3 linked regions of the Sus scrofa genome follow. The protein of the gene in region 2 purifies or fractionates together with the protein of the main gene of each other region. This does not show direct contact. Links are inferred from orthologs where the notes say so. Each region holds a gene or a part of one and is shown on either strand. Other genes may lie near its edges.

Region 1 (3,529 bases), on a different chromosome or scaffold from region 2:
CCAGAGCTGAGGACAGAGCTGCTGACAGGCAACGGCCTCAGGCGCTCACGCCACCGGGGCACCCTGGGGCCCATGCCTCCTGACTTGTTACCGTGAGGCCTGGAGGGACATGTGACTGGCTGAGCAATGCGGCCCCTGAGCCCAGCAGACCTAGCACGGGGCGGGAACTCAGTCATTACTGACCTAACAAAGGGGGACTCAACTCATTCTAATCTTCCCACAAAGATGCGGAGATCAGTGGTCTGACGTCCAGCCCAGCCCGACAGCAGGGAAATCGGAAAGCAATCACAGACGCAAGTGCTTCCTGGGCCCGGGCAGGGAACAGAGGGAAGCCTTGGGCAAAGGGATAGTGCTGCCTGACCCAGAGGGGCCAGCAGACACCCATCCCCAGGGCACGTGCTCCCCAAAGGCAGCACGGGGAGGACTGGGGTTTCCCTCGCTGAGAACGCGCAGGGGGAAGACCCGGAACGGGCGGGGAAGGCGCCCTGGGCTCCAGTCCTGGCTGGCCCCAGGCCCCGGGCCCTTGAGAAGGCGTGGGGCTCTCAACAGTGTTTTCTGCTCTGAGTCCTCTGAGAAGCTGCTAAAAGCTGTGAATTCTCTCCTCAGGAAAAGTGACAAGCATCAGGGGCTGCAGACAGTTCCATGGAGTTCAAGGGACCCCCTGCAGGCTGGCCCAGCGACCACATCACATCACGTCGCATCAGAGGAGGGCATTAGACAGTTCTACTGTGTGTCAAAGGTATGAAATTACCCCATTCACATATGACCTTGTGTGTGTACATCTACAAATTACACATGCACACAGATGAAAGACGGGACACCAGAATTTCACGGTAATTATCACATTTTCCTAGAGTTAATGCTTCATGAATGTTTGGAAGGAAACAAACTACCATCTTTGCTCAAATCCAAGATGCCAACAATTCTAACAAACACCTTATTTCATGCACCACGAAAAGGAAGAAAGCCTGCTGACAGTAACTAACTGTAAACATCCCAAGCGCAGACGCCAACGTATGGAAATGTGCCTTTAGACGTGAAACACAGAATGACTGCGGGGGGACGGAGGCAACAGCTACAGCCCACGGCTCCGAGGAACAGAGAAAACCGGGAACGGAGCTCCCCCTAGGTTCTGCTGACCCAGAATTCAGCACTGGGGCACCTCCTCCCGTCTCTTCTCCCAAACAGCAGTCACATCTGTGTCCCCAGCCATTACCCAGCACAGGGCGGCCCAGGCTGGGGAGGCAGGGCCTGGGGAAGCGTCACTCGGACACGCCTGGAATCCCTGCTCTGCCACCCGACCTTGGACAAGCTGCCTCCCCTCTGTGCTCCGGGAGGCTGTCTATACCCTAAGGGCAGACACGACCTCATCACACGGGGCATGATGACAGCTAACATCTGTCAGCACCTGCACAGAGCAAGCACCATGCTGAGACCACTGCTGGGTCTGTTCTAAGGTAAGCGTTAATGCCTCACCCTCAACAGAAGAGGAAAGCATAGCACAGAGAGGGTAAGAAACTTACAAGTCACACAGCAATTAAGCGGAAGAACCCAGCCCGACCTCAGCCTCATGTGCAGAGTGCCAGGAAGGACCAGCTCTGGTCAGGCACGCCCGATCGACGGCATCACCGATGCCAGCATTTTCGTGACTGCTGTTTTAAATGCCACTGCTGACCTGCCAGGGTCAAGTCAACATCCAAGGCCGATGTGTTCCACGGGGATGGCCTGCGCCCAGGCTGGCGGGACCGTGGGCCAGACCCCACCAGCGGCGGGCGGGGGACGGTCCACTTCCAGACTCACCAGCAGGCAGTGCACGTACTCGGGGCCTCCGACCAGCGTGGTGAAGGTGCCCAGCTGTTCCGCCAGGGCCAGCAGGACCTCGTCCTCATCGTAGATGGTGTCTGGGGGACAAGACAGACAGTGTCACAATCCCGCCCCAGGTCTGACCCCGGCCCCTCCGTCGCCCAAGCTCAGAACAAGCAGGCTCCACACCGCCTCCTCGAACTGGCAGCCGCCCTCCGCTGTGCGGGCAGAGATGAAGACACAGGCTGGGGTCGGGCAACAGAGCGCCCGTGACTAGGGGTGGGACGCTGCATTCCGTTTCTGCAGCTGCACGCCGGTGCCGACCACCTCCGCCCTCAGGGAAGGGCACAGTGAGGCACCAACAAGGCCTGTGTCCGAGCGCAGGGCCTGCCCTGCAACTCTCAGCTCTCGCCCTCAGCGCTGTCGCTGCCAGCGACGCCTCCCGCTTCGGCCTGAGGAGCTCTTCTCCGTCCCTGCACACTCAGGTCGGCTACTGGGTCCTGGAAGAGTTCCAGGATGCCCCCAGAAAGGCAGGTCCCTTCTCTGGGCTCACGGCCCAGCCACGCCGCCTCTGCGGAGACCACGTCTCAGGCTAGGACCGCCCGAGCCTGTGCCACAGCTCCTGCCAGAGACAGCACGGCACGGCGGGCACTCCGCCTGCTCAACGTCGCTGAAAGAAGGCGACCAAGAAAGAACTGCTCTGCCCCAAGGCCTAAACGCAAAGGCCTTTGGCCAGCCCCCCCCCCCCGCTCGCCGAGGCACTGGCATCCCTCGGGTCCACTGCCACGTCCTGAGTTTACGAGAGGCAGACTCCCCGTCTTGTGGACGGTTCAAGTCCCGCTCTGTGGCTGTGGGGCAACTACCTTCACCTCTGAGATTATCCCCTCAGCCCCAGACGACAACACGGTTGTTCTGACTGAAGGGAAGTAGCTGCTTTCTGCGAAGAGCTCACGTGGGCCCAGCACAGGTCCGCGCTCTAGAAAGCTCCGGCCAGCGTGGCTCCACCCGCCGTGCGCCCGGGCTCCCTCTGCACGCGTTCAGATCACCCTCCCTGCTGTGCCCACCTCCCAGACTCAGGCCTGTCCGCGGCCTCGGCTCGGACCCGACTCCACCTCCAGGCCAGACCCTTGGCCAAGCCCCACACAGCCAAGTAAACACACAGGAGCTGCCAGCACCTGATTCCTACCCTTCCCGCCTCCACAGAACTGCCTTCCCAGCCTCCCCGTCCTCTCGGCCTCCTCCGGCCTGACCCAGATCCGTCACCCCCAAGCTAACGGGGCCTTGCGTCTCCCCCACGTCGCCACGGTCAGCCCCGCCTCCGCTGACTATTTAGTCCCGCCAGCTTCCCTCCCGGCTGCACCCCCACCACCTCATCAAAGAATCACCAGCAGCCTGTTCTGTCTTCGTGGATCAGGCTCTGCATGGAGCTCCAAACCCCCCAACCGCACGGGGAGTTAGGTCCTCCTCGCCCCCCTGCAGAGCGGTGGAGTGAGGTCACCTGCTCAAAGTCACCTGTCGTCACACGTACAGATGCCCGCCATTCACATGCATTCAGAGGTAGACACACCTGTGCCCCTCGGTCATGCACCGTGACTGCGGGCAAGGCCCAAAGGGTCTCTTTGGGCCTCAGCTTCCGCCAGGGTTGAAGGACTTGGGGGCAGTGATCCCTGCCTCCCCTGCCCCGTCCCCCACACCATCACTTGGCCCCGGTGAGAGGATGGGACAG
Region 2 (4,145 bases):
CCCGTCCAGGGCCTCAACCGTCCTTGGGGGCTGTGCTTCCAGCAGAAGCCCCTGGGAACCTGGGGACCCCTGGCTTAGAACCCCAACACCCCAGTTGCAGCTGATGGTACCCTGGGCTAGAGACGTCGGGGCCCGAGTCAGCCGGCTGGTGGGGTCCACGGTTAGGGAAGTCTCCCCCGTGGGGCTGGGGCTGGACTGTGAGAGCCACAGAGTCTCTTAGCACAAAGCCTCACTCAGAGACGTGACCCACCCCAGGAGGGCTTCTGGCTGCGCCTGCGTCCCGGGGACGCCCAGCTCCTCTGAGTTCCCATCTGGAGAAGCTCAGGGCTGCCAAGAGGATCCACTGTGTGTTCAGCCAGCACCTGACGTGGGCCCTGCCCCTCCTTAGACTAGACTAGAAGGCCTTGCAGCTGTGACTCCTCCCCCAGAGGGGCCCTGACTGATGGAGGCTGGCAGCTGGCCCAGCACATCTGGACGGCCCGCTGTCTGCAAGTTTCTAACTGGGACCCCCCTCTGTAAAACTCCTCGCTTTCCCCCAAAGCAGTAGTTACTGCAGGAGCTGTTTCTCAGCTTTAGCCAATGCTGGGCTGCGTTTCTCTGGGATGCCGCCTTTCTGAGGCACTTGGTTTGCGAGGACTGCGCCTGCAGAGACCCTCCGCTCAGCCGGACCCGTCAGGGCCTCCCATAAGGAGGCCACCGGCTGCAAGTGGCCGGCAGCCCTGTGCCTGGTGAGGTGGGGCTGCAGGGCCTAGGACCGCGTGACGACCCCCAGGAGGAGGAGAACATGAGGGTCTCAGCATGGACTCTCGCGCAGAGGTGCTGGCATCCTCTGCCACCGAACAGACCTGGTACATGTCACAGGGACCCACTGTGCCGGCCAGCACACTGAGGCTGATGCTCTCAGTCCTGCTCTGATGACACCTGGCCCCACACTTGGGCCGGCCTGGGGATGCCCGGTCCCTCTTGCCCTTCTGTGTGCTCTGCCCACTCCCAGTGCTGAGCTCCCTCCTGGACCCCACCATGGGGACCCAGGCTCTGCCCTTTGACCCACAAAAGGAAGAGGCCTCTGAAGGCCCAGCACGTATGGGTTAGGATCCGAGGCCACCCTTCCTAGCTGTGTCCTTGGGCACATCACTAAGTAAGGTCAGCCTCACCTGCAGGAGCGGGTGACCCGGCCCACCTCGCCAGGTAGAGACCGGCGGCTCCGAGGCCCTGCCGACCTCCCGCCGCCTGAGGGCGCTGCAGGCACCGCTCAGGGGCCGCGGACCCTCTGGCCTCGCCGCGCTCCCCCGCCCCCCCCGCCGCGCTGTTTTGCTTCCGGGTGTTCCGGAAGTGGGGCTCTGAGGGCAGTTCCGGTTCCGGAGCGGCTGTGGCGGCGGTTGGGGACCGATGCGCTGAGCCAGAGTTGGTGTGGCGCGGCTGCCGGCGACGCAAACCCTGCCCGGGTCCGAGGCGGGGTCGCGCGGCCGCTTCGGGAGTCGCTGCGCGCGGCGGGGCGGGCCATTCACCCGGGGCCCCAGCGCCCGACGGCGGATCCGAATGAATGGGCGAGCGACGGACGCCTGAGTGGCGCTGGTCCTCTCCCCGCTGAGGCGTCGGTAGTGAGGAGCGGCGAGGGGTCGGGGACAGAATGAACCGGGCCAAGCCCACCACCGTCCGTAGGCCCAGCGCTGCGGCCAAGCCTTCAGGTGCGCGGGCCTCTCCCGGCGGCGTGCGGCATCGGGGCTTCAGCCCGGCTCCTGGGTCGGGTTGCGGCTTCGTTGCTCCGAGGCGAGCGCGGTGTCCAGGAGTGGGGTTCGAAGAGGAGCCCTTGGGCCGGGCCTCGCTGGGGCTCTGGAGTCCCGGCGGGGGCCGGGGGATTGGGTTGGGACAGCCGCGACTGCCTTCAGAACGAGGCTTCTCGTCCGACGGTGCGTCTGAGGCGTAGACAGCAGCCCGGGAGTCCCGGTCGGGGGAAGCGGCGGCACCGGCGTGGTGGCTGAAGGCAGGCTGGCCTCGGGGCCTGCTGTGCCCCTCCCCAGCTGTGTGGCCTTGGCCCTGTTACTTAACTCCCCGTGCCTGGTCGTCCTCACCTGGAAGTGAGCGTGATCACGCCCGTTTCCGAAGCCGGCGGAGGCCTCGGGCACTGGCCCTTGTGAGCCAGAGACCGCCGGGCCTGTGGCGAGCTCTGTGACTGGCGGCGATGCAGTCCCCGCTCTGCTGTGGACTGGCTGGCTGACCTGTTCCTGGCCTCCCCCGATCCTCGTTTCGTCTCTGAAGTAGCGGGAGGCCGGAGTGGGTCTCCAGCACCCTTGCCCCCTCGGCCGCTGTGTGAAGGAGCACGTGGCTCCGTGTCTTTTCTCCGCAGGGCACCCTCCCCCAGGGGACTTCATTGCTCTGGGCTCGAAGGGTCAGGCCAGTGAGTCAAAGACGGCATCCACCCTGCTGAAGCCTGCGCCTTCTGGCCTGCCCTCGGAGCGCAAGCGGGATGCTGCGGCTGCTCTGGCCGGTGCCTCGTCCCTGACTGGCCTCACCAAACGCCCCAAGCTCTCCTCCACACCCCCTCTGAGTGCCCTGGGCCGCCTGGCTGAGGCTGCAGTGGCGGAGAAACGCGCTATCTCTCCCTCGATTAAGGAACCATCTGTGGTCCCCATCGAAGGTAAGGTCAGCCCTTAGACGTGCGCAGAGGAGGTAGCCCACCCGCCCCAGGGCCCCCGGCGTTCGCACAGGCCACTGCCCCGCCTGGCATCGTGGGCGTGGCCTAGCTTAGTGGAGAAGAGGAGAGAAGCATCATCTGTGAGTTTGTTTTTCAAAGCATCTCATCTGGGTGCCTTCCCCCCACATGTGCTTCAGGGGATGTGCTCACGTGACTCACGGCAGGAGGGCACAGGTAGGTCTGGGGCCCGAGTGAGCTGCCGCCACGTAGCGGGAGCAGCGCTGACCGCAGGCACCCAGTGGCCCTCTTGGCCCCTATCAGTTCTTATTTTTTTCTTCTTTGTAGGGCCGCACTCACGGCACGTGGCGGTTCCCAGGCTAGGGGTGCAGCTGCTGGCCACAGCCACAGCAGTGCCAGATTCCAGCCACGTCTGCCACCTGCACCACAGCTCACGGCAACGCTGGATCCTTAATCCACTGAGCGAAGCCAGGGAGCGAACCTGCAACCTCATGGTTCCTAGTCAGGTTCATTAATCACTGAGCCACTACGGGAACTCCACCTGTCAGTTCTTACCAGTGCAGTGGACGGGTCACGCCAGGGCTTCCGGAATTGGGGGTGGACGGCTGGCCCCGTTCTAGGGGAGGAGCTGGTGCCAGGGTGACGCACTCTGGTGGACGGCCAGCGCCTCTCCTGTGGGAACAGGTTCGCGCCTCTGTTCCCTTGCTGGTCTGTCCCCTCCCTCTGACAGGCTCCCTTCTCTTTTTTTTTTTTTTTTTTTTGCCTTTTCTAGGGCCGCTCCCACGGCATATGGAGGTTCCCAGGCTAGGGGTCGAATCGGAGCTGTAGCCGCCGGCCTACGCCAGAGCCAAGGCAACGCGGGATCCGAGCCGCGTCTGCGACCTACACCACAGCTCACGGTAACGCCGGATCCTTAACCCACTGAGCGAGGCCAGGGATCAAACCCGCCACCTCATGGTTCCTAGTCTGATTCCTTAACCACTGCGCCATGGCGGGAACTCCCGTTCCCTTTTCAACCGCTGTTCGGATGTCTAAAACCCAATCCTGACAAGGTCTTGGGTCAGAGGAGGAGTCCCGAGGGCAGCGAGGAAGTGTGGACGTGAACAGTAACAGATGCAGTGCGAGCCAGACGCGCGACAGAGCCGAAGCCTGGCTGAGAGGGACGCGCAGAGGAGCAGGGCGGGGAGGCCCCGAGCTGCGGTCCCGGCAGAGAAGCAGGGCCGTGGCCGATTAAGTCGGTGGAAGAGCAGAGTGGGAAGGGCAGGGCAGAGGCCCGTGGCCCGGGAAGAGGGCCAGAGCCCGGGGTGGGGGTTCTCTGCAGAGACGGCAGGACAGCCTCTGCGAGGCAGAGCCCGGGAGAGGCCGGAGGAGCAGCCACGGGTGAAAAGAGAAGGGAGCTGTGCGTGGCAGCATGCCCGTTAACTTGACAACCTAGAAAAAATGACCCATTCATAGAAAAACGGGTGTGTTTCAAGACCAGGGGGCCCCGCGG
Region 3 (3,529 bases), on a different chromosome or scaffold from region 2:
CTAATGGGTCTGATTTTGACTTTAATTTGCATCTCTCTGATGATAACTAACGTTTGAGCATCTTTTCATGTGCTTACTGGCCATTCATGTATGTTCCTGGTGGAAACATCTATTCAAATATTGTGTCTACTGAAAATTATTTGCCTTCTTATTATTACAGGTTTAAGTATATATATGAATACAAATACTTTTTTTTTTTTTTTTGGTCTTTTTGCCATTTCTTGGGCCACTCCTGCGGCATATGGAGGTTCCCAGGCTAGGGGCCTAATCGGAGCTGCAGCTGCCAGCCCATGCCAGAGCCACAGCAACGCGGGATCGGAGCCGCGTCTGCAACCTACACCACAGCTCACGGCAACGCCGGATCGTTAACCCACTGAGCAAGGGCAGGGATCGAACCTGCAACCTCATGGTTCCTGGTCAGATTCGTTAACCACTGTGCCACGACGGGAACTCCTACAAATACTTTTTCTTACTGTTGTCTTTTGAAGAACAAAAAAATCAATTTTGATGCAGTCCAATTTATCCTTTTTTTTTTTGGCCTTGCCTGCAGTTTGAGGAAGTTCCCAGGCCAATGATCAAACCCACACCACAGCAGCGACCCAAGCCACTGCAGTGACAACACTGGATGCTTAACCCACTGCACAAGAGAACACCTATCAGATTTTTAATTGGTTGTGCTTTTAGTATCTTAACTAAGACATCTTTGCTGAACCCAAGGTTACAAAAAAAAAAAAAAATTCTTTTTTTTTTTTTGGCTTTTGTCTTTTTAGGGCTGCACCAGCGGCATATGGAGGTTCCCAGGCTAAGGGTCAATCGAATCAGAGCTACAGCTGCCTGCCTATGCCAGAGCAACGCAAGACCTGAGTCACATCAGCAACCTATATATACCACAGCCCAGAGCAACGCCAGATCCTTAATCCATTGAGCGAGCCCAGGGATAGAACCCACATCCTCATGGATGCTAGCTGGCTTTGTTAACCACTGAGCCATGACATAACCACATGACATAACATGACATAACTCCAAGGTTACAAAGATTTTTAATTTTAATTAATCATTTAAAATGGCTGCACCTGCAGCATGTGGAAGTTCCAAAGCCAGGAGTCAACTGGACTGGCAACTCTGGCCTATGCTGTAGCTCAAAGCAATGCCAGATCCTTAACCCACTGAGCAAAGCCAGGGATTGAACTTGCATCTTCACAGAGACAATGTCAGGTCCTTAACTCGCTGAGCCACTACAGGAACGCTTCTATGTTTCTCTTTAGAAGTTTCACAGTTTTAGCACCCATACTTAGGTCTATGATCAATTACGGTCCATCTAAATATATGGTATGAGGTATCTATGGTTCATTTTTTTGTGTGTGTATAGATACCAAACTGTAATAGTCTCCTAGGGCTACCATACAAGGTACCACAGACCAGAAGCCTTAAACAATAGGTATTTATTTCCTAACAGTTTCTAGAGGTTAGAAGTCCCAAGATCAAGGTGTCAGCAGGAGTGGTTTCTTCTGAAGGCCCCTCTCTCCCCTTCAACTAAAAAAATGGCCATCTTTTCCGTGTGCCTTTTCGTCATCTTCCCTCTGAATCTGTGTCCTAATCTCTTCTTAGAAGGACACCAGTCAGGCTGGATTAGAGCTCATTCATATGACCTCACTTTATACTCTCATTACCTCTTCAAACACTGTCTCCAATACAGACACCTTCTGAGGTATTGGGAGTTAGGACTTCAACACATCAATGTGGGGATCAGGTGGTAGTGGCACAATTCAACCCCTGACACATTCAAATGTGAATTCTTAAAGGTAGCATATTCATTACTCCTCTGAGCACTGGGATTCACCCTGGGCTTTTAAAGTAAAGGTTAGCTTGCAAGGCTGCTTTCCAAGTATCCAGAGTTACTAGAGAAAACTTACCATCCTTTAATTCAACTACTACAATTTAGAGATGCAAAACATAACCACCTCCAAAAATGTTTTGTAGCAATTTACAAGATTTAGACTAGTAGCTTCACATTTACATTTTATTAATTGCCTAAAATGCAGCTCTTGCCAAAACCACACCTGCTTTTCCAATACTAGATCTTGGCAGCCATCTCACCAGTCTACATAATCTCTGTCTTTTTTTGTCTTTTGCCTTTTCAGGGCCGCACCGCGGTATACGGAGGTTCCCAGGTTAGGGGTCTAATCGGAGCTGTAGTCTCCGGCCTACGCCAGAGCCACAGCAATGCAGGATCTGAGCCGCATCTGTGACCTACATCACAGCTCATGGCAATGCCAGATCCTTAACCCACTGAGTGAGGCCAGGGATCGAACCCGAATCCTCATGGTTGCTAGTCGGGTTCGTTAACCACTGAGCCATGATGGGAACGCCTACATATTCTTTAATAAAGTTTTCTCCCCCAAAGTCAAGTCAAATAATTTATTTTAAGAGAAAGACCATCCTAAAAAGCTCTTCACTGTTTTGTTTCACCTTCAGATCTTTGCAAATTCCCCAAAGCTACAGCTGGTACAAAACAACTTGCTTTATCACTCCCATTGCTCTAGGTTACATGTCATGTTTAATGGCTACAAACTACTCCACTGAGATAAACCATAATTTCAATATTCACTTATTGTTAGTTATTTATTTCAATTCTTTTTCTTTTCTTGGCCGTGCCTATGGCATGTGAAAGTTCCTGGCCCACACCACAGCAACAACCTCAGCCATTGCAGTAACAACTGCTGGATACTTAACCCTCTGCTCCACAAGGGAACAACCTCAGCCATTGCAGTAACAACTGCTGGATACTTAACCCTCTGCTCCACAAGGGAACTCCAATATATCAATTCTTTTTCTGGTATTAAAGATAATGCTACAATTTATGTTTTCACCTAAATAAAGCTCCTTTCCTCTTATTAAATTCTCCCTCAGTAAAATTTTAATAATAGAAATATTATGTCAAAGAATATAAACATCTGAAACCTTTGTTCCTTTATAATGCTTCAAAAACATCTACAAAGGTGGAGTTTTATTCTAAAAGCTAACATTCAGATGGAGAAAACCAAAGACGACTGGAAAAGAAATTCAAGAGGACTGTCTTACCCAATTCAAACTGCTCAGACATAAAACTGAAATTACCTTAAGAGCTACAAGCAGAGTAACTGTTTCAACGGAATAATATCCTCTGTCAACGTAATCTCCCATAAACAGGTAATTCGTATCTGGTGATTTGCCACCAATTCTAAACAGTTCCATGAGATCATGAAATTGCCCGTGCACATCTCCACAGACAGTGACTGGACATCGAACCTCTTGCACGTTGGATTCTTTTGTCAGGATTTCTTTAGCCTACAGGTGGAAAAAAAATAAACCAAAATATTTGGCATTAAACAACATCAACAAAGACATATTTAGTGACATTTCAGATATGTTTAAGTTATACTTTAAGTAGTTGTCAAGGGAAGACTTGGCATAAGGTGAAATTGCAGGCAATTATGATCCCATTAAATTAAGAGGACACGCTATGACTGCAATCTATCCACTAACTGTT

What was found. Proteins that work in one complex are often made in the same cells at the same time.
Region 1: the proteins of INTS1 (region 2) and PPP2R1A purify together in Homo sapiens (affinity purification with mass spectrometry; 4 studies listed by BioGRID and IntAct, with this or other methods). This does not show direct contact. The link is inferred for Sus scrofa from reciprocal best matches to the Homo sapiens genes INTS1 and PPP2R1A.
Region 3: the proteins of INTS1 (region 2) and PPP2CA purify together in Homo sapiens (affinity purification with mass spectrometry; 5 studies listed by BioGRID and IntAct, with this or other methods). This does not show direct contact. The link is inferred for Sus scrofa from reciprocal best matches to the Homo sapiens genes INTS1 and PPP2CA.

Annotation. Positions count from the first base shown.
Region 1 is NC_010448.4:57,944,430-57,947,958, forward strand, and holds part of PPP2R1A (serine/threonine-protein phosphatase 2A 65 kDa regulatory subunit A alpha isoform), read right to left. Parts: intron 1,902-3,529; coding exon 1,801-1,901; intron 1-1,800. UniProt on the Homo sapiens protein: The PR65 subunit of protein phosphatase 2A serves as a scaffolding molecule to coordinate the assembly of the catalytic subunit and a variable regulatory B subunit.
Region 2 is NC_010445.4:1,002,779-1,006,923, reverse strand, and holds the start of INTS1 (integrator complex subunit 1), read left to right. Parts: upstream 1-1,339; 5' UTR 1,340-1,630; coding exon 1,631-1,688; intron 1,689-2,347; coding exon 2,348-2,638; intron 2,639-4,145. UniProt on the Homo sapiens protein: Component of the integrator complex, a multiprotein complex that terminates RNA polymerase II (Pol II) transcription in the promoter-proximal region of genes.
Region 3 is NC_010444.4:136,505,612-136,509,140, forward strand, and holds part of PPP2CA (serine/threonine-protein phosphatase 2A catalytic subunit alpha isoform), read right to left. Parts: intron 3,328-3,529; coding exon 3,118-3,327; intron 1-3,117. UniProt on the Homo sapiens protein: Catalytic subunit of protein phosphatase 2A (PP2A), a serine/threonine phosphatase involved in the regulation of a wide variety of enzymes, signal transduction pathways, and cellular events.